3 linked regions of the Schizosaccharomyces pombe genome follow. The protein of the gene in region 1 purifies or fractionates together with the protein of each later gene. This does not show direct contact. Each region holds a gene or a part of one and is shown in the gene's direction. Other genes may lie near its edges. The genes, in order: rad25, prz1 and ssp1.

What was found.
Region 2: the proteins of rad25 (region 1) and prz1 purify together in Schizosaccharomyces pombe (affinity purification with western blotting, with the first as the bait; one study listed by BioGRID). This does not show direct contact.
Region 3: the proteins of rad25 (region 1) and ssp1 purify together in Schizosaccharomyces pombe (affinity purification with western blotting; 2 studies listed by BioGRID, with this or other methods). This does not show direct contact.

Annotation. Positions count from the first base shown.
Region 1 is NC_003424.3:3,579,400-3,588,899, reverse strand, and holds rad25 (14-3-3 protein Rad25), read left to right. Parts: upstream 1-4,058; 5' UTR 4,059-4,120; coding exon 4,121-4,187; intron 4,188-4,904; coding exon 4,905-5,650; 3' UTR 5,651-5,772; downstream 5,773-9,500. Other genes in the region: vacuolar CorA family magnesium ion transmembrane transporter Mnr2, read right to left, coding at 612-2,465; rrp1 (ATP-dependent DNA helicase), read right to left, coding at 5,984-8,677. UniProt on the Schizosaccharomyces pombe protein: Acts in cell cycle and stress checkpoint signaling by sequestering signal transducers regulated by the checkpoints. Required for the DNA damage checkpoint that ensures that DNA damage is repaired before mitosis is attempted.
Region 2 is NC_003424.3:783,710-794,538, reverse strand, and holds prz1 (calcineurin-responsive transcription factor Prz1), read left to right. Parts: upstream 1-4,626; 5' UTR 4,627-5,374; coding exon 5,375-7,420; 3' UTR 7,421-7,761; downstream 7,762-10,829. Other genes in the region: mta1 (S-methyl-5-thioadenosine phosphorylase), read left to right, coding at 779-880, 930-1,490, 1,590-1,850; SPOM_SPAC16C9.01C (carbohydrate kinase), read left to right, coding at 2,371-2,410, 2,448-2,525, 2,688-3,655; smp3 (alpha-1,2-mannosyltransferase), read left to right, coding at 7,976-8,099, 8,140-8,265, 8,310-8,378, 8,477-8,643, 8,684-8,841, 8,907-9,864. UniProt on the Schizosaccharomyces pombe protein: Involved in the regulation of calcium ion homeostasis. Binds to the calcineurin-dependent response element. Transcriptionally regulates pmc1.
Region 3 is NC_003421.2:1,876,727-1,888,096, forward strand, and holds ssp1 (calcium/calmodulin-dependent (CaMKK) protein kinase Ssp1), read left to right. Parts: upstream 1-1,720; 5' UTR 1,721-1,987; coding exon 1,988-3,946; 3' UTR 3,947-4,589; coding exon of another isoform or gene 4,590-5,000; 3' UTR 5,001-5,313; coding exon of another isoform or gene 5,314-5,346; 3' UTR 5,347-5,584; downstream 5,585-11,370. Other genes in the region: aro2 (chorismate synthase), read left to right, coding at 1-760; histone lysine methyltransferase Set7, read right to left, coding at 4,590-5,000, 5,314-5,346; SPOM_SPCC297.05 (diacylglycerol-binding protein), read left to right, coding at 6,042-8,963; SPOM_SPCC297.06C (uncharacterized protein), read right to left, coding at 9,236-9,928; qcr7 (ubiquinol-cytochrome-c reductase complex subunit 6), read right to left, coding at 10,816-11,229. UniProt on the Schizosaccharomyces pombe protein: Involved in actin localization and thus in polarized cell growth.

The DNA of each region.
Region 1 (9,500 bases):
TATTCGTTTTCACTAATGTCTGTTTTTACAACCGTATTATAATTTCTACAAAATGTTTAGATGAGACATTTCTTCTCCTATTTATTGCTTTGCAATATGCATTACTTATTTCGAGAAAATAGTTTGAAGCAGTGTTAAATACCAAGACGTCGAGTGTGTTTATTTTTTATTAAAAAAAAAAAATTACTGATACGACGAATCCCCTTCTCCCCATTCAAGCTTCATCTTTAATATCGTTTTTTAACTCTTTTCGTTGTATATTTGATTAATAATCATAATTATCTATCTATTAGTCGTTTTTTAATAAATATTTTTGCAAGTAATGGTGAGTTGTTTAAACAAAAAGCATATTCCACAATGAGTAATCTTCTGATAATGGAAAACGGTCTAATACATTAATTTTAAAACTGAGATAAAGTCACGACTCAAGCAATAAAGGACAGAAACGAGAAAATACAGTTAATTTTACTCCATGAGATCGACTTGGTTCCTCGGCTGTTGTGCAGAAATTCGGATTGCCATGTTTGAAAACATGTTAAAAGAAATAAATGAGCTACAAGGTAACCCTGGGGGGAAAACTCTCAGGCAAAAATACAAGCATACAGTAAGAGCTAAATAACTTTGTACCATTTACAAAGAATGAAAGATGAAATCGCAAAAATCATCAGACTACCAAGAATACTAAAGAACCAACCAAGTCCTGGTACGTCTTGTCCTGGAACTTTAACATTCATACCCCATAAACCGGTAACCAAGTTCAACGGAATTAGAATTGTACCCAAGATAGTCAAACGTGATAAGACTTCATTTGTTTCATTCGAAACAAGTGTCATATTAATAGAAATCTGAGCCAAATAATTTGAATGACTTCGAGATAAAATTTTTTCGTAATGGTTCAAATTTTGAACCATAGTGACTATGTGATCCTGCACATCACCAAGATATAAAGCAATTTCACCTCTAGGAGCTACTTGCCATGACTCGTTGCATCGTTTGGAAAGACCTCTAACAACATCTGCCTTATTGGCAAGCAAACGTAGCAAACTCATGATCAGCTTGCGGCATTCACCAACGCGCTGCAACATTCTCTCTTGAGGCTTCACTTCCATTACGTGATCATAATGGATACTCAAAATCATGGAATCAATTGTGTCGACTTCATCTTCAATTTGCTCAATGAATGGAGCGAAAGCATCTGTAGTATCGTCCAGCAATGCATATGCGATCCAATCTGCATTCACTGTCAGATAACCATTCAGTTGACGAATCCTTCGACGAACATTAGCTGGATGCGGTGTCGGGTTCATATGAAAAGTAATTATACCGTCACGAAAGACGACTAGATAAAAATTCAACGGCTTTAGGTACTCAGAGTTTGAGGGTAATTGGTTGAATGAACGGAAGGTAACAAAGTAATACGTTCTAAAAAGCTCGACTTTTTCACGATCCTCTTCGAGAGTAATATCTTCAACGGTTAAAGGATGGATTCCAAAAGCCTTTGCCAGAACTCGAATTTCTTCTTCCTTTGGACAAGAGACATCTAGCCACCAAGTTCCTCCAGAATGGAAAAGGTCCTCAAAGCTTTGGCCATCGTGAACGAGTTCCCACATTTCATGTGAATGGATAGTAGAAGGAAGCTCATCGGTAAAGAATGTAAATCGATATGGTTTTTCAATTTCTGACTTACGAAATTGAGCCCAACGATCACGAACACGATAACGGCCATTTACAAGTAACGGTTCACTCAACTTCCTATTTCTTTCACGACGCTTATCAACATCTTCTACCGAATATTCTTCAAAATTGGCAACCATCTTTTTGGTCCATTCATCAAGGACAGAAAACTTTGGTTCTTGAGCATTGTTTGGAGATATGGGTAAATACAACTCATCCCGAGATAACTTTCGAGTAGCCGGATGATCATCAACAGCACTCTCAGTCACGTCGTTGTTTGCAAACTGTTCATAGTGACTATCATGAGAATTAGCTGATTTAGGGTAGACATGGGGGGATGAAATAGCAAAGTCACTGACCTCAGCAAGTGGACTAGGTTGATCTCTTGTATTCTTCCCATTTTCCGTCTCAAATTCTTTCCTTTGAATGTCCTCTGGATGGCTTTCCGGCAGTGATATATTTTCGATGTCTTCATCGCTTTCATAGTGACGGTGTGGACTTTTCGGGGAAGAACAAACAGAACTAGGCATTGAAGGAGGGTTATTAATATCCTTGTCATCTTCCCCATTACTTGAATGCTCAGACGGTGGTTCTAATAGATCACTATCACTGTTTCCCAATAATCTTGTTCCCTCATCCGCTTCGTCTGGTTGCAAACTAGGGTCCACTGGAAATCGATGTTTAGATTTACTCGAGTGTTTACGATCAGAAAATCTAGGCCTGTTCTGCATCCTAGCATTTTGTTTGTAATAAAAGCCCGTAGGCACTGACCGGGATGTATTGGATGGCATAATTCAAACAGGATTATGGATGCTAAGAATTGACAGGTTGTATAGCAATGAATGTATTATTCTTGGTTTATCAAAATAGTTATAATGCCAAAGAGATCGAATAGCGTTTGGTTTAACAAACTAACGGTTTGTGGATTATTTATATAATTACTCTATTGGTGAGAAAGAGAGGATTTCTGCCCACATTTGATTGAGAGGTTTGAATTTATTAAAAATATTTAAAGAATAATTTCACAAAACTCAAACAACAGAGGAAATGCCAATTTTTAGAGATGTGTTGTTGAGGTGTGGCAGCTAAGACGCTTATCATTGATATGGAAGGCAATTTTTTAAAGACCCCCAAATCATATACCAGACAAAATACAGTATCTTTAAGCATAGTTTTGTTTAATTTCATCAATATTTTTGAAGTGTATTTGTAAGAATCCAATGCAGCATAATTAAATTCATTTCCGGCCTACACATATTGAACCAGGTTCAAATTGGTGCAAATTAATTATTTTCTTGTAAGGATGAATAGAATTGGTTAGTAAATTCTGCTGAAGTTGCACATAAGAGGACGGTTTTGTTTACTAGACAAAATAAGTACCGCGACTTATAAAAAATCTTATCCCAACCAGATTGTCCCTTGTAACAATTTAAAATCCTACTTTTCGTATTACCGCGCAATCAAGTTGCCCACAACGGGACTGCAGCATTGCAGTAGAAACCCCATCAAACGTGTAAGTGAAATGAGCGAACAATAACCCTGAAATTATAAAGTCGTATTATCTTGTTTAAATCAACTCATACCTTTTTCATATAAGAATATCGTATTGTTTCAGGATAACAGAAACAATTTCAGGGAAACTTGAAAGGTTTATGATAAACGCAGTATGCAATTTTAGAACAACGAGAATTAAAAAACTTTACATTTAAGCCAAGAAGTATTAAGTTTAAAATACACAAGTTGAAGGAGCAATTAATCAGCACAATGTAATTTGATCTTTTTTGTTCGTAAAATTACCGTTTGCGGTAATCACCAATCTGTGATGACAACGCCGAAAAGCAGCTTACATAATAACACACACTTTTCAGCTCACTGTACTCCTTTGTAGTCAATGTAATATAATGGAATTTCGCCGCCTCCTACGGATATTCAAGCATATCGCATATGCCATCGAAAACTAAAGAAAAACGCCTTCTTCTTGAAGCTTCCTGCATAGAGTGATAAAAAACCTTCTAAAACTTCTTTGCCCCTAAAGTAAGCCTCTTGTTTCTGTCAAGCTTCCTCAATTATTGCACTCATTGTTTTAACTGTAATCTTTCACGCTTATGTTTGATACTTGGTATCTTGTTTTCGAAAGAAAAACTTATTGTAACATACTTTAAGACAGCAATTCCTCATTCAGTGAGTAAAAACGCGTTTTCTACCGAATTCCTATTGACACTGGGCATTTGTTTGGCATTTGTTTTTGGAAGCCTAATCATACGTGTAAGAAGTATTTTTACGATATTGTAAAAGAATAAGAGAGGTGTAGTGATGTTTCTGTTAGATATCCATAAATCTCAGTATAGTCCGTCATATATTCGGCTGACCAACCAACCTTCCCAACTTTCCTTTCTCACTTCTACCAACCTCAACTAACCACCGCTTTTAATAATTCCTTGCAAATATGAGTAATTCTCGTGAAAACTCGGTGTATCTCGCCAAGTTGGCCGAACAGGCTGAACGCTACGAAGGTATGTGATAAGGATCCGCTGTTGGAAGTAGATATAGCGTAATAGTACGAAATTGTCAATGAAGGGACCTTGATGAAAAGTTATTATATTGCAGTTTGCTACTGTATGTGGGAGTTCTTTGGTTTTTTAATATTGTTGGTCTTGAACAGGTTGCGTTGTTGAATGTTGCAAGGTTGTTTGTTTGATGCGGCTGAGAAAAAGAGGGGTTATGGGTTAGTACGTGGATGACTTGTGTATTTTAAAATGTCCCCAAAATCGCTTGATGAGGTTTAAAATGAGTTCTTACAACATTGTTTTGTTGTTGGACATGTTTATGATATCTGAGGTTATGGACAAGAACGGCTTGCAATTCTCTTGATTTTATGGTTTTCGTAATCATTATTTTTTGTCGCCTTTGTTCTATTTCCTACCTTGCTTCCTTTTTTCTCTTAAAACCACGATTGAACTGCCTTGATTGTCTTATCATTCTTATCTCCTCTTATGATTTGAGGTTTCTTTGTAACCACCAAGACAAAGAAATTCACTAACATCAGGAGTAACACGAAACACCGTTCTGTAGGTAAACCTCAACGCAATTAAGGATATTATTACCTTCATATCTTCACCATGCAATGATAACTCGTTTTGAATTACTGTTTGTTGACCCGTCTATACTTGGCTTTGCTTCTTTCATCTCTCCTTTTTGTTTTTGCTTCTTTGCTAACTGATAATGTATAGAAATGGTCGAAAATATGAAGAAAGTTGCATGCTCAAACGATAAACTTTCTGTTGAAGAACGTAACTTGCTTTCTGTTGCCTATAAAAACATCATTGGTGCTCGCAGAGCATCATGGCGTATTATTTCCTCTATAGAGCAAAAGGAGGAAAGTAGGGGCAACACTCGACAAGCCGCATTGATTAAAGAGTACCGTAAGAAGATTGAAGATGAGTTATCCGATATTTGTCATGACGTCCTTTCCGTCCTTGAAAAGCATTTGATTCCTGCCGCTACAACCGGTGAATCCAAGGTATTTTACTATAAAATGAAGGGTGATTACTATCGTTATTTGGCCGAATTTACTGTTGGCGAAGTTTGCAAAGAGGCCGCCGACAGCTCTTTAGAAGCTTACAAGGCAGCTTCTGACATTGCTGTTGCTGAGTTGCCTCCCACGGACCCTATGCGCTTGGGTTTGGCTCTCAACTTTTCCGTCTTCTATTATGAAATCCTTGACTCTCCAGAAAGTGCATGCCATTTGGCTAAACAAGTATTTGATGAGGCCATTTCAGAGCTCGATAGTCTTTCTGAAGAATCTTACAAAGACTCTACTTTAATCATGCAGCTTCTTCGCGATAACTTGACTTTATGGACTTCTGACGCCGAATACAACCAGTCTGCTAAGGAGGAGGCTCCTGCTGCCGCTGCTGCTTCTGAAAACGAACATCCCGAGCCCAAAGAGTCTACGACTGACACTGTTAAAGCTTGAAACTAAAGCGTTAGCATTTTATCAGTAAACGGATCCTAATGGTCTGATTACTTTTGCATATATGAACTGATACCTATGATTTATCTAATATTCGTAGCCATATAACAAAGTTATCTTCATTATATTCTTCTTGCACTTTATTTCTATCATTTATAAATTTATAACTTTGATTACGTTTCATGAGTAGTTAGTTTGGCTTTGTGGCCTTAAAACCATCAAAGCATACTATTATTATACATTGTACATGCGTTACACTACACCACCCCTTTTTTTAACGTTTAGTTTAGTATGCAGTAGAGTATAGTTCATTTGAGTAACGTTAACATTAAATAATCATGAATTAAGCCCAAATAGATATAGCAACTCTTCTTTGTCAAGTCTCGACAGAGGATTGTTTTCGTTTGAATCCAAAGCTTCTTTAACCAATTGACGCTTCTTACGTTGAACACTGACGATACGCTCTTCAATCGTATCTTTAGTAATAAACCTATACACGGTGACAGGCTTCTGCTGTCCAAGCCGATGAACACGATCTATTGCTTGATCCTCTATGCTCGGATTATAAAATGGTTCCTGTAGAATAACGTGATTTGCAATCGTCAAATTCAAACCCACGCTGCCGGCTTTCAATGAAACCAGCATGACTAAAACATCTTTATCGTTATTAAAAGAATGTAGGGACTTTTGCCTCTGGTTCGCAGACATAGTACCATCATAACGAACATGTCGTATATTTTCTAATTTTAGCATGTGCGATACGAGGCATAAATACTGGGAGAACTGAGAATAGACCAGAATTTTTTCGTTTCTCTTGGAGCCAATTATATCCAAAATTGTTTGTCTTGCTTGATTCAATTTCGAGGAGCTTTTCCATTCGCTCGCCCGCTTGCCAAATTTTTTGGTAAACATCTGGTCAATACGATTTTCCCACCTTAATTTAATGCTTTCTTGTTCTGAAAAAGATTGATTCATATCTAACTCTAATTGCTTTAAAGAGTTTAAAGGACCATGGATTGCTTGAAGGATAGTTGCATCAACTAATGAATCTTGAACTATATTACCTCTGCACATTGGGCACTTTGCTATGATCGTAGAAGTGCTTGATGATCCATACTTCTGGCCGACTAGCATGCTCATACACTCTTGACATGTAAAGTGCCCGCAAGGGATAATAAAAACGGGAGCCAAACAAGGATCCAAACAAACACTACAGTTGAAATCCTGTAGTGTAGCAATTCTTTCTATGGTCAAGGGATCCAAAGACTTGCAAGCATTTCTGACGTTTTCGGAATCTCTAATTCTAAAGCTGTTATCCAAGCTAGAACTCTTAACAAGCCATGGGTGACAACAAAATTGGCGAAGACGGAGTAAAGATACTAATAAGAACCCGTAGCGCGAAAGATCGTGATCATTGTTAAAATAGTTATCAACGAGCGATTGAGCACTAGACATTTGCTCATTGTAGAGCGCGCGTTCTTCAGGAAGAAGGTTCACGGAGACGGTACGGATGGTTTTTGGAGGAAGGTTGACAATAGGCAAATTATTAACCCTCGTCTCTTTAGTTCTACGAAAAACCGTAGAAGCCAAAAGGATGCGAAGACGTTTAAGAGCAGCTTCAACGATATCTGCACGATAACTTTTTAGCGGTCTGGAAATATCCTTAGCAAAAAGGCTCCACACGCAATATGGTTTTATTCTGAGGAACTTTAAGAGGCTGTAAAACTCATCAATATGGTTTTGTATGGGGGTTCCGCTTAGGCACCATCTATATTTGGCATCCAGTTTGACGCAGCATTTAGCGGCAAGAGTGTCGCGGTTACGAATGGTATGTGCCTCATCTAGAACAATGCGATACCAGGAAGTCTCTAGCAATGAACAGGCTGGCGGCGGAGTTGCCGTAGCGGGATTGTTATTATTAAACGCATCGTTTTGCTTCATTTCATAAGCAAGCATTGAATACGTAGTCAAGACAACATCATATTGAGAAAGTTCGTAAGAGTCCAAGTTTTTCTTAGTGGACCCATGATGGATGTAAACGGATAATTTTTTACTGGGGTGCACTTTAGTAGACAATTCTTCAGCCCACTGATGTAAGAGGGCGACAGAAACCACAATCAGGTTTGTCTTACGAAGAGGGTCTTGGGATTTTTGAGTAAGAAGTAAAGCAATTGTTTGAATGGTTTTTCCAAGGCCCATGTCGTCGGCCATAACCCCACCACACTTGGAGCTTTGCTCCATGGATTCCATCCAAGCATGGCCCTCGACTTGATGTGGTAAAAGAGAAACCAATAAACCGGCGGATTGTACTTGCTCATTTTTCAACTGCAGGTCGATCGTGTCGAACGGACTGGGAGTATTATGCTGAAGTAATTGATGCAATTCTTTTGTGACATGTTCTGGTTGCACCTTACGCTCATAAGGGCAAAAAGAGTTGGTACTAATAGTCCCGGTAGGTAGGGATGAAGATGATGGAGGTGGAAGAGGAGTAGGAAGACGACTCAATTGTTTAGCGGTAATGAAGGAGGAAGGAGGAGTCAAATGTTCGGGATTATCAAGATCAATAGGGTGGTCACTCGAGCCTAATACGGAAGGGATGTCGTTAGAGACGGAAGAAGTGGTATGTGGAATAGAAGAAATTGATGGAGTAGACGAAGAAGATGGAATAGAAGGAAGAGATGATGAGTTTGAGGGAGTAGAAGTTAAGCGCGTAGGGGGACGAAAGGGAAAGTTTTTAAAAGACCAAAGACGTTTTTGCCGCCATCGCTTGCGAGTGGAAAGGGAAGAAGAAGTAGGATTTTTGGAAGGAGGATGATCAAAGGGAGGAAGAGAATAGGAAGAGGATTGTGAATTTTGAAGGGACCTAGCAAATTGTTCGTCTAGTTCAACTTGGTTTTGGGAAGAAGATGAGGAGGGGGCAGAAGAGGGGGAAGAAGAATTCCATTCATCTTGAAGACGACGGGCCAATTCCTCGTCATTTTGAAGTTGCTGAAAGGTGGATTGAGGAGGATATGCAGACAATGAATCCATGATGATTAAGAGCTAGGCTATAAAAGAGACATGATTAGAAGGAAGAGACCAGGAAGAATTATTTTAAAATCGAATTGAGGGGGAAAATGGAATATATAGAAAGTGTATGAAAAGTATGCAATGCCACTCGAAAAAAAAGTGGTAGAAAAATTAATTGTAAATTAAAAAAAAAAAAAAAAAAAAAAAAAGGAAACAAAATGAAACACTGAAATAATAATGGAGACCTATTTGGTTTAAGAAAGTGTGATGGATAAATGTAAAACAAGCATTTATGGAAAGCACTATGTACAAATAAAAAAAAAACACTAGTGAGAAGTGGATGAAATGGGAAAACACTTGCTCTTTAAGTATGACCTCGTTAACGTTTGTTGAAAAAAGATAAGGAAAATGAACGAATTAGAACGAGGCAATTGATGAAATGCGCAGATGAGCGGTGAGATGCAATATGGCGGAATCAAACAAGTTGATATGTAGTAAAAGTTTAACGATTCAAAATCTCGAGAATGATAAAGATAATAGGAACTGAGTATGCTAGAGATGAATTAAAGAAGGATAACGAGAGTATTGGAATGTGCGATAAAACAAAAATGAATGGAGGAGTAGGAGGAACTAGGTAAATCAAAAAGGAAAATGATGGTAGGATGTAAAGAAGAAAACCGTTTCAAAAAACGAATCGCAAAACTATTGAAAAGAATATCTAACCAAAAATTAAAATAAAATAAAATAAAATAAAAAGCAAAAAAAATAAATAGAAAAAAATTTTTGTTTTGTTCTGGTCAACCGATGATATGAATTAAGAGACACATTTGATAAGATGGAATGG
Region 2 (10,829 bases), 2.8 Mb from region 1:
TATATTGCTGAAGCCATGGCCAAAACAATTTTAATTATCAAAACGATTTTATAATATTAGAAGTAATCCCACGTTTGTCATTGTTGTATCATATGGTTGTATCTTAAAAACTTTTGTATTTCATTTAGGAAAACAAATATCGGATGTTTTTGTATATGTTTAACTAAATTAAGTAGTCATTTTATTGAGAATAGTCTAGAAAGTAAGCCAAGGCATTTATTATTCTGCTATAATTGGAAAAAATGTTTTTTATTAAAAAAGCAAGTATCATATACTTCGAAAACTTCTCATTATAGTTAAAATTTTAGACAACAGGTTTGGAAAATAAACATAAATTTAACATTTGTAAAATATGTACTCTAGTTAACACAAGCTCAATGATATACAAAAACAGAAGTTTTGAATATTACTGTTAATCGGTATATTTTCGTATTCAATTAAAGTACCTATATTTATAAACCACTAGAGCACTCCTGAGTATTAGAAAAAATGTAAAAAACATAGCAGTTGGATAAAAAGAAGAAAACAAATTTACTTCATCAAAAAAAGAATCGTTATTTTGTAATGACTAGCTAAATAAATAATAATTTTTTTTACAACAAAAAAAAAAAAAAAAAAAAATAATTAAAATGTATAAATAACAAATAACTTTCTTTTAAATATCTTGAAAATCTTTTATTCCTTGACATTGACAACTCGCAAAAATTTTCATCTGCCCTAAAGGTGTAGTTTTGCTACCCATTTTCAGCACTTTATCCATTCCCTCATTGAAAAAAGTATGAACAAACAAGCTGAGCCAATTCTTCTTGGAGTAATTGGAGGTAGCGGTTTTTATGACCTCCCAGGATTTGATATTGTCGAAAGTGTCAATCCTATTACGGTATGATGAAGATTAACTGGAAGTTGGGATTTGCTAACGTTTTATTCAGCCATGGGGTTATCCAGCTTCTCCAATTTCCATTGCCCGCACAACCTCTGGTTTTTTGATTGCATTTTTGGCTAGACATGGTGTCGGTCACATTTATACACCTACAGAAGTTCCATCTCGAGCAAATATCGCAGCTTTAAAAAGTTTAGGTGTTTTGGCAATTGTTTCGTTCAGCGCTGTTGGATCTTTGAGGGAGGATATTCCACCGGAGGATTTTGTTCTGCCTACACAGATTATTGATCGCACCCTTTGTGCTCGTCCAAACACTTTTTTTGAATCTGGTTGTGTAGCTCATGTTTCGTTTGGTGATCCATTTGATCAAGACTTGTATGAAATTTTAAGTTCATGCGGCTCCAACTTAAAAAATGGTTCTAAATTACATACCAAACGCAAAGGAGATGATCTTACTGTCGTGTGTATGGAGGGTCCTGCATTTAGTACGCGTGCAGAAAGCAATTTATACAGAAGCTGGGGAGCCAGTATTATCAACATGTCAGTCATTCCCGAAGCCAAACTAGCTCGCGAAGCTGAGATTGCCTACCAAATGGTTTGCATGGCTACAGTAAGTTTTTAACATTCAATGTACCTCTCAAATCAAAGCCATGCTTTTTAGACAAGTACTTTGAACTTATTATTAGGAAGGAATTTTAACAAAAAATAGGATTATGATTGCTGGCGCATGAATGAGGAGCCTGTTACTGTTGAAACCGTGATGGAACATATCAGTAACAATAAAGATAATGCAAAAATCTTTTTACTGGAAGCCGTCAAAAAGTTAGAAGCTCCACTTTTGCAAGGATTTTTGGGAAGGAACTTGCGAGAAAGTGTTCAAAATGGGATTCAAACAAATCACAAGCATCGTAACCCAGATGCAATTAGACGACTTCAATTTCTTTTTCCCAATCTTACCATTCCGCACTAAAGAGCAAAGCTTTGGGAAGTAACATTTGAAATTTTATAAAAGAGTAGACTTAGCTATATTGCTTGCTAATTGACTGGTCAGGACTGTTGCATTGCTAACACTTAGATTAGTTAATTTTATATTGGAAAGTGATAATTCCTTTTTGAGAATGATGAGTACTTCCTATATATCGTTAGGAAAATACAATGTTCTAAGTATGACATGTGTGCTTGATATATGGTATGTAGTAGTATGCCCATTCATCTCATACAAAAGTAAGCAAATGCAAAAGTACATTTTTTACGGATACTTAATTTTCAGCATGATTCAACACTTCCTTCATAAATATGAAATATTTTATTTAATTATTCGCCATGTTACCTTTAAATTACTATACAGAGTGCAGGATGTTTATTGATAATTACGTAGATTATCTGCAGATGTTCGCTAACTCTGACTTTTAATGCACCAACATTAAAGCAATATATGTTCTTATAATTAAGAAAAAAACAACTTACAGTAATTTTTTGGGATTAACAAAATGGATTATCCTTCGAAAGATGTGGAATTCGTCACAACTGGTAAAAACTTTCACATATAAGTGCTAACGAATGCAAGGCATGTTTATTATAGATGAAATTGAATTCGACGGCGGAAAGAAGATTAAAGATATTATTGGAGGTGCAGGATCTTTTGGTAAGTGTCTAATTCTTTTTAAAATTTTAAGCGGAGCGATTTGCGAACTTCATTGGTGAAGCATATCTGTTTATCGAAGGTTGAAATCCTCTCCCTTAGAAAAAAGATGCATTGCGTCCAATATTTTTATTATTAAAATAATAATTAACACATTATTTTCAGCATTGATTGGTGCTAGACTCTGGACGTCTGAACCCGAAAGTCAACAACTGGGAATGATTGTTGACAAAGGCTCTGATTTCCCGCAGGTGATCCTCGATGAATTAAACGATTTACATACTGGAATTGTATACAGAGAAACGCCTTGGAGAAAAACTACATATGGTTACAACCGTCTCAGGGACAATGGTTTTCGATTGTTTGAATACCTTACACCTAAAAAGCCAATTCGTGCTCCTGATCTTTTGGAAACAGGATTGATATATGCAAAAACAATTCATATTATTACAAATCCTAAAACATTTGTCTCTGTGTGTGAGGAACTGGCAAAGTATGGAAATCTAAAAAATCGTCCTAAAATCGTATGGGAGCCAACGCCTGAATCCTGTTTACCGGAAAACTGGCATATTTTACAAAAAGCCTTAAAGTATTGTGATATATTTTCTCCAAACGAGGTGGACTCTGCCAACCTTCTGGGTATAGATATTAGCGAAAGCAAATCTCGAGCCAAAGAGTTTGTATCTGCGTTTCAAGAATTCCAAATTGGGCACGATTCTCAAGGATGGGTTGTTCTTCGAAATGGGTCCGATGGTTGTTTAATTGGTGCATGCACGAGTAGTACCAACGCTACAAGCGATGCAGTTGTCCCTGTGCGAGAAATTCTTCATTTGCCAAGTGTACAAATGAAAAACGGAAGCGTTTTAGATACCACTGGGGCTGGTAATGCTTTTTGTGGAGCTGCAATCTTGGAGTATTATAGGACGGGTAATATTATAGAAGCTTGTGCTAAAGCTACTGTAGCCGCTTCGTTTGTCATTCAACAACACGGTTTGCCGGCACACACGAAAAATAGTGAAGGGATTGACTTATGGAACGGAGAATCAGTCTTTCAGAGGTTGAAAGAATACTATGAATTTTTAGCTTCTCATGAAGCTTCCGCCATCAAAGAACTTACGAAACGAGGTGTATAGGTTGCTCTTACAACACAATATAGTCATCTTTTGCTACGAAGTACAAATACTTAATAAGATTATTATACCATTTATTACAATACGCAATTTCGTTGCATTACAATTGGGATTTTCTGCATCTAGGTAATCTAATACAAGAAATGCTCTTGATATTTGCAAATATGATATATATTAGTTGACAGAACATCGGTTGAAGTATCCGATATGAACCGCTTCGTTCACAACATTCAACTAAGCCTCTGCACCAAAGAGCCTGGAACTCGTCAAAGCCGCCGTCCGTCGTATCGTGAGAGAAGATTCTTCAAAAATAATCAATAGTCAGAATTGCATGGTGGTTTGAAGTCTCTTACATATAATTTATAGTACTTTATGTTTTCAACTTAGAATTATTCCACAATTTATAAGTAGTACTACACCTTATTCTGCTTCCCCACTAATGAGTTTCGGATGGTGTTGAAAAGCTAATTTCATGAATTTCAAGCTTTGGGGTTTAATGCTTCTTGACAAGCCTACGGAAGTTCTCCATGTTGTAAGTGGTATTACATTTGGGCACGCCTTCAACTAATAACCGGCACTTTAAAGTATGTGGCTTTGCTTCCTACCCCTTAAACTAGAATATATATTTGATGTCGCTCAATAAATAAAACAAATTTTCATACATTCATGTTATTTAGCTATTTGTGCTTTGTATAAAATACATGTCTCATCACTTTACTATACACAAGTCGCCACCCTTTAGTAAGTCCAGTAAATTTTCAATAGAAAATTGGATGAATATCCTTCAAAAACCAATTTTTTTTCATTTCTGGAACTCCTTAACTGGGATCCTTTGTATATGGAAATTTATTATATTTTGTTTTTAATTTGTTTAGCAAACTGTTCTTTAGCATCCTGCTGCTTCATACTAACTTCAAGTTTAAACTGCGTGTTACTTAAAATTCGTTACCCGATCACGTCTTGTGCAATCCTTTACCACTACATCGCAGAAATATCTTGATGATTTAGCAATTCATCCGTTGTAAATATATAATCTGCTGGCCATTTATTAAACTATCATTTTTTTTTCTGTGAAAATCAAAGCGTTTAGCTGACGCTGTAGTATATTGAGGCTATTCTGTTTTTTTTCATGTCGAGTTAGCGATTTGCGCTTGTATACTTGTCTACCTAATTTTGCAATTTTTCCTAATCGTTAAAGGGTTTTCTCTTGTGCTGTCCTTTAGGTTACTTCCTCATTTCGATCTGTGAAAATCTCATTTGTCGCACTCTCTCCTCTCATTTGTATTGCTTAATGCCCTTTTTGACGTTGCTTAGCTAACAATTATATTGTACTAACCATCAATCTTCTCAGACTTTTATCCTGCGCATTATTCCAAAATACAAAATTTTGTATCAAGAAATTCTGTCGTTATCTGATCAAATCCTGTGAAGCACTGGATTAACTTTGACGACCTCAAGTCTTAATTTTTTCGTTTATTAAACGATACTTTTGGTAATTAATTATTCATTCCACTAATAAATTTCACACCCTTGGTGTTGCTGGTTTATCCAATTTATTACTACAAACCAGCTTTACTCTACTATTCGGTCAAAAAATTCACGTTATAGGCTTTTTGAAAAATAATTTGTCTAACCATTCAATTAAAGAGAGTTGGTGAGTCTTCAGACAATATTTTTGAGAGCGTACCGTTCCAAAAGTTAATTATTTGATGAATTTCATCGATGGAGCGTCAAAGGTCAGAAGAAGCGAATCGTAGATTCAAAGACTTGAATCCTTCTTCTTTATACGATAACCTTTCAAAGCCGGATCTTGGAGGCTCTAGCGAGTTGCATACGTACATGAATGACACTTCGCTTGCTGATATCCCCCTTTTTGAGGATACTCTTGCGTCTGAAGTTTCTTCTTCTTTAATTTCCAATCCTTCTAAAAATAATATTCAGCACCTCCATCCCAACACCTCCGAGCCTTTTAAAACGTCTTCAAAATCCGATGAATATGATTCTTATCCTCGAACCGGGAATGTACCTACTTTTTCATTTACAGAACTGAACGATACTTCAGTCAGTGGCTTCGGTAGTCAAGCGGTATTTGAAAACTCCGTTAGCCCTTTAAGTAATCCATCAAATAGTCCGCAAGCATTTGACTTGACTCAAGGTTCGAGTTCTACTCATAACGCCAACGACTTTACTGTTAACAATGTTGGCTCAAGACGACAATCCATTTATGAGTTTAATATTGGTATTCCGTCTTCAAATATCGATTCTTCTCAGTTCTTACCAGTTTCACGTGCAATTGCGGCTTCTGAAATTTCTCCATCTTCATCGCCTCAGCTATTAACATCCTTCCTTCCCTCAGGATCTGTTTCAAATCCGAGTTCTCCATATTTACAAGGTTCTGTTGGTGCTCTGTATGAAGCCGATGCTTTTAATTTTGTTGATGTAATGTCACAGGCATCTGGAACTGAAGTTGATTCAGAGAGATTTCCTTCTGTTGATTTTGAAGATCCATCTTTATTGATGGAGAATCAACAAAATATTACCGGAACCGGTTCTTTTGCTGACTACCTTCAACCACCTTCTTCCGGGAGCCTGGGGGCCTTTACGAACGCGTCTCCTGGTGAAAGCAACACTGGTATAGATTTTGATACGGATAATACCAATTTGAATCCTTCCGTTGATTTATTGTCTAACCATTCCACACCTTCTTTCATATTTGAGAACAGTCCTTCCGCTGAATTTTCTCACCAGTCATCCCCATATCTTGTTCCAAACTCCGGAAGGACTTTAAACAGCGAAAATGCTAGAGAATCTACTATTCGTTCTGTAAATTCTCCTTTTTCTGAGGACCATGCAGATGCCTCTTTAACAACACACGTTTTTGACCCTATTTCTCCTACCGCTTTAAGCAATTCCGTTTTGAATTATGATTCAAACAACTTTTCGGGTACCCCACAAATTAATGTAGTACCTTCATCTCCTTCCAAATCCCAATCTGGACCTAGTTTGCCAGCAAATCCTCTTCTTCAAACAGACATTAGTATCACTTATAGCCAGTCTGCATCTCCAGTATCTGGTCAACCTGCTATGAATGAAAATTCTTATGACTTACAAAACGCTAATCTTTGTGCTCCTGAAATGTCACCCACATATACGGCTCGTCATCGATCAAATAGTGCTGGCTCACGATTTGATGCTTATGAGCCCATACCTCAATTATATACTCACTTTTCACATTCTTCTGAATGTCTATCTGTTAACCAAGATACCGAACTGCTGGGAAAAATAGAGAATGATAATTCTAAGTCGAACGATTATTTGTCAGTTAGAAATACTCGTCCTCGAAGTCGATCATTGAATTCGCTAGTAGGAAACAAATCGGAAAATTCGTCTTCGTCTAAAGCAAAGTCAGAGTCTAAGTCTCAAGGAAATTACGTTTGTACATTTGCTGGTTGCAATAAGCGTTTTACTAGGGCTTATAATTTGAAAAGTCATATGAATACACATACAAATTACCGTCCCTTTCAATGTTCGATTTGTAAGAAATCATTTGCTAGACAGCATGATAAACGGAGACATGAGCAGTTACACACTGGCATTAAAGCCTTTGCATGTGTCACTTGCAATCAGAGGTTTGCTCGCATGGATGCACTTAACCGACATTATAAAAGTGAAGTTGGACAAAATTGTCTTCGCACGGCCACAGAACGAGGAATTCAAGTTCCGCCATCCAGAAAGACAGCAGTGGCCTCGACAAGCAAACAAAAATGATGTTTTAATTTCCAAAGCAAGACATTTTGCTTGCACCTGTGATTAATGGGTGTCTAACTATATTTCCTTTTGCAATGTGATGCAAGTATTTGCACAGTTTTGCATTTAGGGTTTTGTATTATTTTTTATCTTTGATGTTACGTTTGGCTTCGTTTATAGTTTATTAACTTTTTGCCCTTTTTAAAGAGAGTTGACATTGTTTATACTTAGTGATTGATTTTACCCCATCGTTGATCCAAAATACGGCTTTTAATATTAGATTTGTTTAAAATTAATTATGTTTTGGGTATTGAGTTAGATTAATTTAAAATGTAATAAGACCTGCAATTCTTCTAGTACAATTATTTTACTGAAACATTAGTTTAACGTATACTTTTTGTATGCTTCGTGTATTCTTAAACATATACCCGTCGACCAAGAGTTGTTTACATTTTCGCTTAGCAAACCTTTTTCATAACAAACATATATAGTTCGGAATATCTCGTTATATCTTCATCGTGTAATCCATTGCACACTGAAGCAATAAATCCCGTGCTTTATCCATTGAGATTAAGGATGTTTAAAAACCGTAAATATGCTATAATTTATACTTTTCTCCTAATTTTACGCTTTTGGTTTTCGCAAGGCAGCTCATACATACATCCGGATGAGCATTTACAATCGTTTCAAATATTCGCAAGTATATTACAATTCTTCAACAATTTATGACTAATATAAAGATAAATTATTTGGCTGGAAAGTGGAACTTCCATGGGAATTTACTACTAAAAAACCAATTCGGTCTGTAGTTCCTTTGAATGTGATGCTTTTACCTATTTTCTTGCTTTGCCGGTGTATTTGCAAATGTAAGTGTATTTTAAATTGAACGAAATTCTTACATATCCAAAAGCGAACTGCTCTCCGTATCCTATTTTGTTGTTCACTAGACTCTATATGTGTTTGATCTCTTTGTTAATAGGTATGTACATTGGCGAATATTAAGCTCTGATAAATTTGGAATTTATTTCAGAATTTACTACAAACCTTATTTCCTCCTTCCTTGACTAATTTTGGCAGATTTGAGTATTTGGAACATCGTACCTTTGAACGCAAGATGGAGTGCATTGCTTTTATATTCCTCATCCTTCATGGCTACTACATTTCAAACACATACTTTTACAAACTCAATTGAAACGATTTTCTTTTTTTTAACTATACTATTTCTTTCGAAGTTGAATAGTGTGGTAAGTTAATAGCTGGCAACTCTTAACTAACAAGAATCAGCCATTAAACAAGAAAATTAGTTATTTATATACATTTTTGCTTGCAATTGTTAGTGTATTAGGATTTTTCACAAGAATCACTTTTTTAGCTTTTGTGATCGCCCCCTATATCTATTTTTCTGTTCGATGTTTTAAAAAGAACGTGAACAATCCGAAAGAGTAAGTGATTTTGATTTTTAAATTGAATTAAAAATATATTATGGAATAAACACTAACTGGATTAGCATCTTTTTGCACTTATGTATTTTTGTTTCAGTTTCTTTTGCAACTGTCTTAGCATGCATCCTCGAGGACTACAAGTTTTATGGGGTGTTTGTGATAACATTTTGGAATAATTTAAAATACAATTCTCAAATCGAAAATTTGTCACAGCACGGATTGCACTCAAGATTAACACATTTTTTCACTAATATGCCACTCCTTTGTGGTCCTCTGATTTTTGTTCCAAAGCTTTGGGACGTTCGAAAACCTGCAACTTGGTTATGGCTTCTCCCCGTTTTCATACTATCCCTGTTTCCTCACCAAGAGCCCAGGTTTTTGCTACCCGCAGCCTCTATTTTTATAGTGAACTCTGGATGTCTAGTTCGTTCATATTGGATCAAATTTTTATTTGTAATGTATGCAGTTGTTTTGGCAGTTTTCTTCGGCATAATGCATCAAAATGGTGTTATCCCTGCGGTTTTGGAAGTAAAAAATATTATCGAACAGAGAAATGTAACAACCATGGAAAATTGTAATTTGTATTTTAATCCGGAAATGCCCACGACTATTTATTTTTGGAAGATTTATAGTGCTCCGACTTGGATGCTTGCTCGTCCAAAATTTAGCCAAATTAATACCTCTCATCTTTATAACTACTCCACAAAACAAATGATATCAAAATTTTGGGAGACTTACTATGAAGAGGTTAAAGTCGTCAATTTGCCTGAAGAAAACACAACCGAGTTTCAAGCATCCACTTTATTAGTGTGTCCTGTTGCTATGCTACAAACAAGCAGTTATCTTCAAAATTTGACTATGCTGCATTACATCCCTTATCACGTTGATTTAGATGACACTGATGAGTTACCCCTAGCAGAATTGATTATGAATCATGGAATTGGAATTTTCACCGCTAAGGAGATTTGTGAGAATAACACTATTACTAATGAGTTACCAACGGTATTGAGAAGTGTGGGATAGCAACATAAAAAAATCATTTTGCCTCGTTGTGTACTCTTAAGATTGAGATTCGCTCGTCATGCTACATTTTAATACTGCAGCAATTGCGATTAGAAGTTACCGTTTTCTTGAAATGTTTCGTATCCTTATTGTTAATCCTTCTTTATTGTTTTAAGGGTCAGAAAGTTCAATACTTAACTTTTATTAAGTAAACTGATCTAATTGTTAAATTCATTGGCATTTGTTTAATTTTTTTTCTAATATATTTGGGTTTTAATTTTAATTTATTTATGAAAAGCTGAGAGAATATTTAGTTCACTAAATCTTTCGCGGTTATTTAATCGCGAAGCTTGCATTCGTTCGATGAATGATGATTAATTGTTATATGTTGATTCTATTGATCATATTGTTGTCTATTTTCTTCAGCACAACACTGTTAATCGCCTGTTCCGATCCGATCTATGACAAAACTTAGCTGATTGAGTCTTCAACTTGTCATATTCAATTCTAACCAATTTTGTTAATAATAAAATAGTACTGACTCATCCCGATATGTTCAATGTGCTTATATCATACATAACATAACGTATTAACACAGATTGGGAGCCATTTGAATTCGTTTTACGCAAACAACGACTATATTAGCTTACATACGCCAATATACTAATACTAGTTCAACGATTTATTTGTTGACGGAGAATTATTGCGCACTTAGTTATTTTTTTGTATCACTAACTACTTTAGTAGGTTCACTTTCATAAGTGGTCAACCCCCCCACATAGTACTTGAGGTAGTAGACGAAGTCATAATTGCTATTCAAGTGAGTAATGTCTTAAAGAGAATATGGACCCCCCATTAGTACTTTCTAACCCACTTGGAAATTGAAATTGCTTTGATTTTTAAGCATTATGAATTAATATAATATTAATGCGTATTAGCTTATATAAACGATTACTAAATTATATTCTCATAGTTTTTCATGCATC
Region 3 (11,370 bases), on another chromosome or scaffold:
CTTAGAAGCTTATGGTGTCGAAATCGTTGCCTTTGTTTCCAGTGTAGGCAAAATAGCCATTCCATTGCACGAAACCGCTTCTTCCGCCATATTGGACCCAGAGGATGATACATTTGAATCTCCTATAACCGCTGAATATCTGAAATTCCTCAATAAAATTACGAGAGAGGAAGTCGATAAAACCACTGTTCGTTGTCCTCATGCTGCGACGGCCGCCAAGATGGCTGAACGTATTACTCGAGCTCGTGATAACCACGATTCCATCGGTGGTACTGTAACCTGTGTGATCCGTAATGTTCCCACCGGTCTTGGTGAACCATGTTTTGACAAACTTGAGGCCAAGCTTGCTCATGCCATGATGAGTATTCCTGCCACCAAGTCTTTTGAAATTGGCTCAGGCCGTGAAGGCTGCAAAGTTGCTGGATCCAAGCATAACGATCTTTTTTACCGAAATGCTGATACTGGCAAGCTTGGTACCTTGACCAATAACAGTGGAGGTGTCCAAGGTGGTATTTCCAATGGCGAAAACGTTTACTTCACCATTGGCTTTAAGTCTCCTGCTACCATCGGCGTAGAACAGTCAACTAGCCGTTACGATGGTAGTGACGGTGTTCTTGCTGCCAAGGGTCGTCATGATCCCTGTGTTGTTCCCCGTGCCATTCCCATCGTTGAAGCCATGGCTGCTCTTGTCGTTATGGATGCTGTCATGATTCAACAAAGTCGTATTGCCTCTCGAAACCTACTCCCCAATGCTCAATAAATTAAAAAAAGTTAAAAATAAGCTAGTTTGGGGGCAAGAATCTCACTTCAATTGAGTTAGCCTACTGGATTATCTTATTTTGATGCGCCAAAAAGAGAGGATTAGATATACCTTTTGTCTCTTAGATTACATATGTACATTTTTTTTGGAGGGTAAATTTAACACAAATTAAGGCATATTTAACAGATACTTGTCAATATAGTGTGTAAGATTATAAATGAATATTTTTAAAAAAAGTAAAAAATTTAATACACAAGAAAAACTAAAGAAGTGTTGCAAAGAGTATAAGACCTTCTCTTCAACTAGCAATTGATGTTTGTTTGTATGCAGATTTTTTTCATGTTTATTACACAGACACCTGCGGTACACAATCTAAATTGGTGACCAAATATAGCTTTTGCCATTCTCTTTTAATCTTGCCATTGATTTTTCTCTCATCTAAGTATTCATACTTACACACTGTGTATGCAATTATGATATATTATACCGGCAGTTTGGTCATGTTGCAAAAAATTTTTTTTGCTAATGCCGTTTATCGGCACATCGTCTATGCTTGTAGATGAAGTAAAGGATTATTATTATGTAAAAAAAAAAATCTTTGGATTTATGGGTTTTACTATCAACGTTTCCATACTTGTGAGAAAAAGTGGTAGTTGTTTTAAAGTAATATTTTGAATAATCGAAATTTGTTATAGAATATTTCTGATGTTCCACACATTTTACGTACCAAAAAACCTCTGTAAGAAAATAGTATTCTATTATGAAGCCTTCTTCTCAGGCGTACTTCTCGTTAGTCCCACCTATGATGAAATAGCAACCATCCCGTCTACTATCTGGAAAAGGAGGATTACGTATAGTAGTGTAATACGGAATAGTGAAAGGTACTTCGCAAAAATGATCATTCCAAAAGTGCTCATCGTCATCCCTCACCAGGTGTCGTGCTACGGTATAGATGTACCTAACCTTTTCCAACCACCAGTATAACGTAGGCTTGATTTTAAACAAGATATTAATCAATTTTGGAGATTGAGGACTACTAAAAATCTACAAGTCTTAAAGAAGAAATAAATTTCAGAGTCATTTAGCTTGGTAGCTTTACGACTATAGCCCCGCCGAAATACGAGTTGCCTAGTCCCCGATAGAGGAAAAGCTCGATTAGTAAATCCGGTAATTCATGTACTTATTGACTATTGAAGCTATTTAAGAGGACTCGAGGAACACTTCCTGATGGGATCAGTGAATAATGAAGAAAAAACTTTAATTGAGCCACAACGTCTTTTACGGAAAAATACTTGGCATCCAGAGGTAGACGATAGCGAAGTTCCTCCTTCTGTCTTTCCTGAATATCCCGTCCACAAGGCCATCCAGAAAACGTCCGATTCATTTCGTAAACGGAACTACAGCGCGGGAGATTATGTAATAGCCCCGTTGGGCGGAGAACGTGAAGGAAGTTCGTTAACTCACTCATGGACTTTTCAACCTGGTAAGCATAACCAGCGTCTTTATTCTGATAATTTTCAAGAGGCTCAGCGCCAGTGGAAGCGCCTGCAAGAATGGGGCGAGGTGAAGGAAACAAAAAAGATAAGAAAGCGGTTTGATCGGTTTTCGGGTCGTAAATACATTAACCACTATGAGATTATAAAAGAACTAGGACGTGGTATGCACGGTAAAGTCAAGCTTGGCCGTGATACCGTTACCCGCGAACTGTTGGCGATCAAGATCATCCCGAAGACGGAACGTCGTCCGAAACTGGGCCGAGCCAATGCTTCCAGTCAAAAGGAAAAAGTTCGTCGCGAAATTGCCATCTTAAAGAAATGTGTCCATCCTAATGTCGTCCGCTTGCGCGAGGTCATTGACGATCCATCCTCAACGAAGGTGTATCTTGTTTTAGAGTACATGAGTGGTGGGGAAGTGCCATGGACAGATTGTGACTCCCCCGTACTCTCGATTAGCGAGGCAAGACAATACTTTCGCGATGTTGTCTTGGGTCTAGAGTATTTACATTACCAAGGCATTATTCATCGAGATATTAAACCCGCCAACCTTCTCCTTAACTCTTCTAATTGTGTCAAAATATCTGATTTTGGTGTTTCGTACATTGCCAACGCTGGCCTGAATGAAGACAACGACGTTGAGCTTGCAAAAACTGTCGGCACTCCTGCTTTTTTCGCCCCTGAATTGTGCTGGACCGATTTGGATCGCCCAAGGCCTAAGATTTCTGAAGCAATAGACGTATGGGCTTTAGGCGTTACTTTGTTTTGCCTTTTGTTTGGTCGTTGTCCATTTAATGCTAGCATGGAGTATGAGCTTTTTGACAAAATCGTCAATGAGCGTCTGAACATCCCTTCTACACCCGACATTGGTGAAGAGGGTCGAGATTTGCTTAAAAGATTATTATGCAAAGATCCTGAACAACGTATAACACTTGTAGAAGTAAAACTTCACCCATGGACATTGGATGGCTTGAAGGATCCTGAAAAATGGTTGCAAAACACTGATCCCAGTACCGTCAGTCGTGTTGAGGTTTCTACAGACGAAGTTGCTTCTGCAATCAGCCTTGTGGGTCGTCTTCGCAGAAAACTTGGTAAGCTGTTTCGTTTCCGCCGTCCAAAAGCGCGAGTGTTTGATTCTTCCTCCTCTGTTCCTTCCGACTCTTCCATTTGTCGGCCTGAGAGCTCTGGTAATTCTTCAATTGGTTTATCCGCGTCCGAGTTGTCCGATTCTTTTAATCGGCTTGCGGTGAATGAGTCTCAGAAGGATCGTGAAAGAAAGCAAGTACATCCTGTCGAAATGGGTCGTAATAGTTCTGAGAAAAAGCCTAGATGTGACTTTGGCTGGGACTATGAGGCATTTCCCAATGACAATCAAGATGCTGATGATGCTTGCAGCTATAATACCGGCGACTCTATTCCACAAGTCTCCAAATCCATTAACGGTCATTTCGAAACGTATAGTCGCACGTCGATGGATACGGATGATGTAGCCTCTTTCGAATCTCCAAATGCGAAGCATGAGGAAAGTGGAATGCCTGTCGTTACTTTTCGTAATTATGAGAATTATGATGCTAATCCGTCCAATTTTCATCCAGTGGTTCCTGGTTTTGTATCATCACCTAACCTTCATTTAGCCGGGGGCTCTGACACACCTATCTACTGCATTGAGCATTCCTTCACACCAACTAATTGAGTGCTGTATGAACATTTCCCAATTTTATTCAATTGTTTTTTTTTTGCAATGTAGGTTGCATGTGTCTTTTAATTACTCATTTCTTATTCTTGGCTTTTTACCTAGTGTTCAATAACACTTTGTCATTCGTTTTCATCAAATCATGTCATTCGGACCTTTTAGATTTTTATTTGTCCTATATGTTTGCCCCATCTCAAGAGAAGCCTTTTTTTTTCCTTTTTCTAAATAAGACGCTTAGGTTCCAAGTCTTTTGGAAAAAAGGTGACTTTATTGATGATTCTTGCGCATTCCACTCGTTTTACTCGTTTATTTTAAAATGTTTTATTATCTAATGTGCCTTTTGTTTACCTCGTATATCGTGATTTTTTTTCCTATGAGCAAAAAAAATTTACTGATTAGACGTTGAAACTGGTTTTTTTGATGAATTCTTCTTATTCCTGGCATAGGAAATAAATATCATTTTATTATTTTTTTATGACCTAGTTTGTAATTTCTTCTATGTGCTGTTGTGATACAAATCTATTGAATATAGGTGAAGTGGGGCAACTTTTGTATGGTGTGATTTAGAAGACAGACAGCAATATTGCTACCATTTGAGAAATTTTATCTTCTAAAGCCTACAAATTGGACGTATGAAGAATTTTTATAAACTAATATTTTGTAAGGGAAAATCTTCATTTTCCTCGTTTGGACTTATTCGTGAAGCAGATGATGCTTCGTCTTCGAACCACAGATGATCTCCGTATGAAATACAGAGTTCCTCATTTGTTTTTATCTCTCGTAATGTGTAATATGAGATGTAGTTATTGCGATTGTCTTTTTTCCAATACACGTTTGGATGACGGTCGTGATTGAACATACTTCCAAGTCCTAGAGCTAATCCTTGTTTGCCTTCGCTCCAAACATATGTGTATTCGTTAAGAACTGTATACTGTCCATGTTGTTCATATTCTTCTTTGCTGAACATCAATACAGGACTAATCTCAATGCATGTTTGTGCTGGAATAGGCTCAAGAGCAAATACTCCTCGGCCTTTTCGTTCTGTATCACGAATCTAAAGCGTTAGTAAACTTATAATTAGACACAATCGTTCAGTCTGTCGACTGATTTTACTAAAGAAAAGAAAAGAATGTGAAATGTTTTCTTTTATATAAATGATTATGAATCATGCTGTGAATCGTTGATCCGTAACATTACCCTTTCGATTATACAACAACAACAATCTTCGACATTTGCTTTTTCTACTGTCTGACTCAACTCATAGCAAAATTCACACAAATAAATATAAATGAATCGAAACACAAAAAAGTTAATTTAAAGTGACTTTTAACTTTCTTCTATCTTCTAGCTATCCTACAATACCTTACCTCAAGCGGACTACGAATAACAGGAATCCGCATTACAAAATCAATTTGACAACTGTCTTAATGATCGGTGTGCTTCACTTCTTACACCTTTTGTGAATTACTTAATTTTAGATGTTTCGTGTCTTTATAGATGAGCCAGGGAGTTGATTTCTTTGGGCTCACGTTTGATGTCTTTCTTTTTTCATATATTAAATTAGTAATTTCTAATAGAAATAAACCAAACAAGGAACTTATTTCACATATACGAATGGCAAAAATAGTTAGTAAGTTAATAGGAAAAAATTTATTTTTCCCAAATAAGGCAGCTATAAGACTCCTTAAACCTATTGTGGTGATACTTCGGGTCATGGTACGTTGCTATATTCACTTTAGTAGATAAAAGGTTATAGTGCGCTATGTTTTTCTATCGAACATTTTGCTGCATAAACAGTCGCAAGTTACCGTTTTCCATTTAGTGTATGGAGGATGCTTTTTGAGGTATTGGCGATCTGTAGTTAAATTGGCATTTGAACAGGTTGGAAAGTGCGTAGGAATAGTTATACTGTTAGCGTTGAAGTGCCCAATTCCTTACGAAAAAAGTTTCGCACGATTTATGTGGAATCGATTTGTGGCATATTTAGTAAGTTTATTCTTCAAAAATATAATATAAGCTACAAAACAAGTTATCTTTTCCTTAATTATTGCATATGCGATTGCGATCATTTACGATGCTTTAAGTTGCGAGTGGAATGGAAAGTATCGCAGATCATTTCTTTCTCGCAGGTCTCTCTAACGGATTTGTGAGTGTATCCAATTCTCAATTTCGAGCAGATAGACTTGATGAAGACGCCATATCTGTTTCTAGTTCTATCATCCAAAACAATACAAGGAAGTCGCCATTAAAAAGAGTGTCAATCACTTCTGAGTCTTCTTTTTATAAAGAAAATACCTTTGCGCATCACAACACCACTGGATCCAATTCTGTGGGTCCAAAGAAGCCGTTTTTAGATTATCATCACTCAACATCTAACACACCGACCAAGAAAAAAAAGGATTCATTTGACCATGCCTCCGTTACGTCCTTACATCGTCGTAGCTTATCCTCTAATACTTCAACACCTCGAAAGTATCATTCCAGAAAGCCATACTCCGAGCCTTCTGTCATCGATAAAGAGCATTTACAAAACCGCGTTAGTATCGGTACTACGCATACCCAAAATGATTTGTATCAGTCTTATGTTGCATATCCTGATGCCCTGCCCTTATTCGCTGCTACCCATCCATTCGAGAGACGCTATCCTCCTTCTCTCCTCCATCAATTCCCTTCTTCCAAGGACATAAAAAATGAGACACCGACTATTGACCGTTGTGATTTCCCTAATTATGTTCCGATGTTTGCTTTTCCTAACGACATAACTATAAAAGAATCGGATGTTAGACCTGTATCAACCTACCACTCTTTTGCTTTGACCAGTGACAATAACAGCCACTTGTATGGGATTTGCGTGGTAGTTTGGGTTGCAATGCCTCAATCTATGCAAAATGACTTGGAAAAGGAATGTGAAGTTTGGAGAGCTAATAATACGACTGTGGAAGACCGTGAGGTTGCCGAGAAGCTTTTATCCAGTTTAGAAACGGAGCGATCAAAACTTTCTTCATTATTATTAAAAATGCAAGAAAAGGAACTTGAAGGGAGTGATTCCATCGATCCTATACTCTTGGAAAAGATTGATGTCTGTGAAGAAAACATTATTCTTTATACTGAACTTCTTCGTCCTATGCGCTATAAATTACCTAGATTTGTTCATGGACTGACAAATAACAGGACTTTATGGATACCCAATGCTTATGGATTATTGAGTAAGCATTCACATTTGCAGTCCTTTTGTCGGGATTGGCTTCGAATAGTATGCTCCTCTATTCAAGCTGAAGATCTCGATTTTATCCCTTCGTCAGATTTAAATTCCCTTAAATCACTAAACCTTCAATCGTTTGTAAAAAACATTTGCTGTGATGTTCCTTTGCCGCCGAAAGGACTTCTGCAGTTGCAAGTTAATGTCGGCCCATTAAATCTTTACGCATTTAGGAGTCCAGTCAATGAAATCCCAGGTTGGAATGATGTTGACTTATATCCGTTATTTCGTGCATTAAGTATCCCTAATATTCTTGTTCTTTTTGAGGCTGCTTTAATGGAAGCTAAAGTTATATTTTTGTCTGAAAACTTAGGAATGCTGGGATATGCATCACAAGCTTTACTACATTTGCTTTATCCTCTTACGTGGCAAGGGCTTTATATTCCTGTTTTACCCAGGCGTTTGATATCTTGTTTTGAAGCTCCTTGTTCGTACATTATTGGCACTCTATCGTACTTTTTTCATATGGACGACGTTCCTCTGGACAATATTCCGCTTGTTGTTTGTGACCTTGATAAAAATTCTGTATCTACGTTTGGGAAAATTGTTCGTCTTTCTCGCTCATTGCGATCTAAGTTACAGGCCCATCTGAAGCTTGCGGCGCCACTTCATGATAAATTTTATGTACCACATAGCCCTCCAAAGTACACAATGGAAACTTATCCAAATAATGTCCTTTCGTTGAGTACAGTTACATGTTTTCCTTTGAGAGAAAAGTTTTCTATCCCAGCACTTTTGTCTTTTAGAAGCTCCAATTTTTCCAAAAGGCCTTATGTACTCTCTCCTATCTTAAACGGTTTCCTTAAGCTTCAAGACAATCCTTCGAGTATTTATTTTGCGAAGCAAACTGACTCGCGCCAGTCATCAGCTTCAAAACTTTTATATGCGCGTTTACAGGCGCCTGAGCATGCTCGCAACTTTTCTTCTCCCCCTTTTACGAGACCTGCTTCTCCATCTTCTTCAAAGTTTCGGTTTTCTTCTTCTTCTTTCCAATCGACGATAAGAAGAAATTCCCTCACATCACCTTATTCGGTCCCTGAACTTCGTTCTTCTGAATCTAATCAAAATAAAGCTGGTTCTATTAACACCGGATCTGCTGTGAACCTTGTGAGTTCTAAGCCAGGAGAACAAAAAGTTCACATTATGTACAAAGAGGGGCATAAGCTGAGACGCATCTATAAAATGTTTCCCGCGGATAGCGCTGGCTCCATTTGCGCTGTCTCAGGATATGCATTGGGTGACGTCCATGTTCAATGCGATAATTGTGGGCTACGTGTTAATCTGGATTTCATAAAACATATATCAATGCCATGTGTTCCAGCATGTTTTAATAGTCAGCAGATATTAGTGACATTTTTAAAATTCTTTATAAAAATCTTAGGGTCATATCGGAATTATTTACGCAAACCTCATATGTCTCGTGAAAATTTTGGTATTTCTAAAGGAAGTGGTGGTCTTATAGGATCATTCGACTTCAATAAATTTACTCGGCAAGCTTCCAAAGTTCACGGGAGTTGGATTTCATCACTTTGTAGCTCACAGGCATTTGCAGAATTCATTGGCGATCGATGCGAGCTTGATCTAAATGATCCCCGAGTGGCACTGTTTGATCAGTTACTTCTTTGTGAACGCAATCATGGTAAACCAAGGCTTTTTGGAAAGGCCACCCCTTTTCTACGAGACAAGTCATTGGAAATCCAAAGAATTGAGGTTGCACCTATACCAGCTTCGTTGAAGAATGACAATGCTTTACACTAGGTTAGGTTATAGACGCACTATTTACGAATTATTAATGCTCAATAGACTTCTTTTTGGTTATAGTTAAAATATTTAATCGAACAACTCTAAAACGCTTTTCATTTTTTATACTTTGATTAAATTTGTGAATTTTTAATATAAAGTCATATACATCTTAAGTTGAGAGAAATTAAATACTCATTATGTTTGACTCATAGTTAAAAAGCTCTAATCATAATGAATAGTTGCACACTTCTTTGGTTTTATAAATGTCGGCGTAATTGCTAAAATGATCAACTAGAAAAACCTTGCAACCTAGCCTTGGCTAACTCTCGTAGCTTTTCAATTGTTTCTAACTCTTTTTTATTTCTTTCCTCAATTTTATTTCGAAGCTCTTGGTCGCGCTCAAGTCTTTCCATTTCTCGTTTTGAAGCCCTGAATTCTGACCGTTGTTTTTTTTGCTTCAATCGGGACTGAAATGAGTCCCGGTCTCCGTATAAGTCGGTTTCTTTCAAGTCTTCTTCATTGTCAGATGCTTCGCGATAATGCTTCAAAGCAGCTCGTTTTTCCTTCTTTTTCTGTTGCATAGCTTCTTTGCTTCCTGCTGGTTCTTTTGGAAGAATTTCATCCAACAATTCTGTCTCCCTTTTAGCTTGCGATTTAAAAGCTGATTTTCGGGATAGCTTTCTCAACTCGTTTAATTGCTCCTGCAATTCTCGTCGATCTTGTAAATTTTCCAAAGTTGGTCGACTTGGACCTACAAGACGAGCATAAGAGGGTTGAGATATTCTCTTTCCCAACGAATACCATTTACTTTTCATTTTTCCATCATTCCATCTTTTTACAAAGCGTCGCCAGAGGTCGTGTACAGAATCTTGATCACAAGTACCCAAATCGATCTGCTTCTCTTCCTTAACATATTCTTTAAATATTTCATTGAACATTTCTTTCTGAGTAATGTCTTTATAATTGATTTTCCCCTGCATATTCAATAAATATTTCGAACAAAATTGTACATGATTTTCTTGTAATTTTTCAAGTTCCTCAAACAAGTTAAACAAACGCGGAAATAAATAAAATTAAATTCAATAATACTTTACGTCGATCGGAGGTTCATATATTATGACTCTGGGTACAACATTTCAGATAGTGAAAAGCTCATGAGCTTGAAGTCGTACAAGGAAGAGTATGCCTAAAGTCAAATAGGAGTAAGCTTAATTAAATCAATAAATACAATGCCAAACTGTCATAAAATTTCTCAAAATAAGTTTGTCTGTTTAACAAGTTTAAAATTTGATATCACGATTTAAAAAAAATACTACATTAGTTGGTTTGCCTTACAATGTTTTGTTCACTAACTTATGTTATACCAACCATTAGCTATAATTGATTCAGCGAGAGAATAATTGCAAAATCATCTTCAGAAAGCGAAACTAAGAAACAAAAAAATTGTTTCTCTTTCAAAGATAACAGTCAAGGAAAAAGCAGCTACAAAAAATAAAAAATAAGAAAAAATCGTTGTTCAATTAAAATATGAAAACTGAAAGCATAGAGAGGAGAGGTCAAAGAGATGGGAGATATACCAGTAGTTAAAATAGAGCAAAGCAAAAACAGAGCGGCGTAGAAAATTAATCGCACACATAGTAAAGTCAAAGTACAGATAAACAGCAATATAAAAACTTTCGTTTCCACGTACTTTGTCGACTGATATAACCGATGAAATAAGATACGTGCATAAATTGTCTTCCTTTTTAGAAATTGGAGTTGGGGGTTACTTAGAAAATAAAATTCTCACATCCGTTTACTACTCTTTTAATTTTCTTGTCGGTTTTCATGAGAGGAATAAGTGGATTAAAGGAGGACATGCAAACTTTTAATGAGCATGAGCAGGAGAAGATGTTGCATGGGCTTGAGTCTCGGGTTTCTTAACAATGAGAGCGTCGAAGGCCTCACGCTCTTTCCTCTCCGCGATAACCTCAGCTAAAACAGGTCTGAGGTAATGGTAATCCTCCTCAGGCTTTGTCCATTCAGATTTTGGCAAAATTTTATTCTCAATGCTAAGTTGCATGGCACGGCGAATACGATAGACTCGATCGTAGGATTCCATCTTAGGCAAACGAGATAACGCCTTTTGAGTATCGTCATTCTCCTCCAACATCAAATCGTCGTATCGAAGACCATATTTACGGTATCCTGACAAATGCACATAGGCATTGGAGATGGGTAAAAGCAATTTCGTCAAAAATGGTGATTTTTGAATATACTTGGCAAGAGACACAGGTTTCATACTTAAACAATCACTTCAGCAAAAAAAAATTTCGTCACTACAAAATTTGCACTGAAATCAATAAAACTCTTAGTTTTGAATATTGGAAGAAGGTAAGATCTCATGGCCCTATAGTATGCCAATGAATCCTTCGGTCACCTG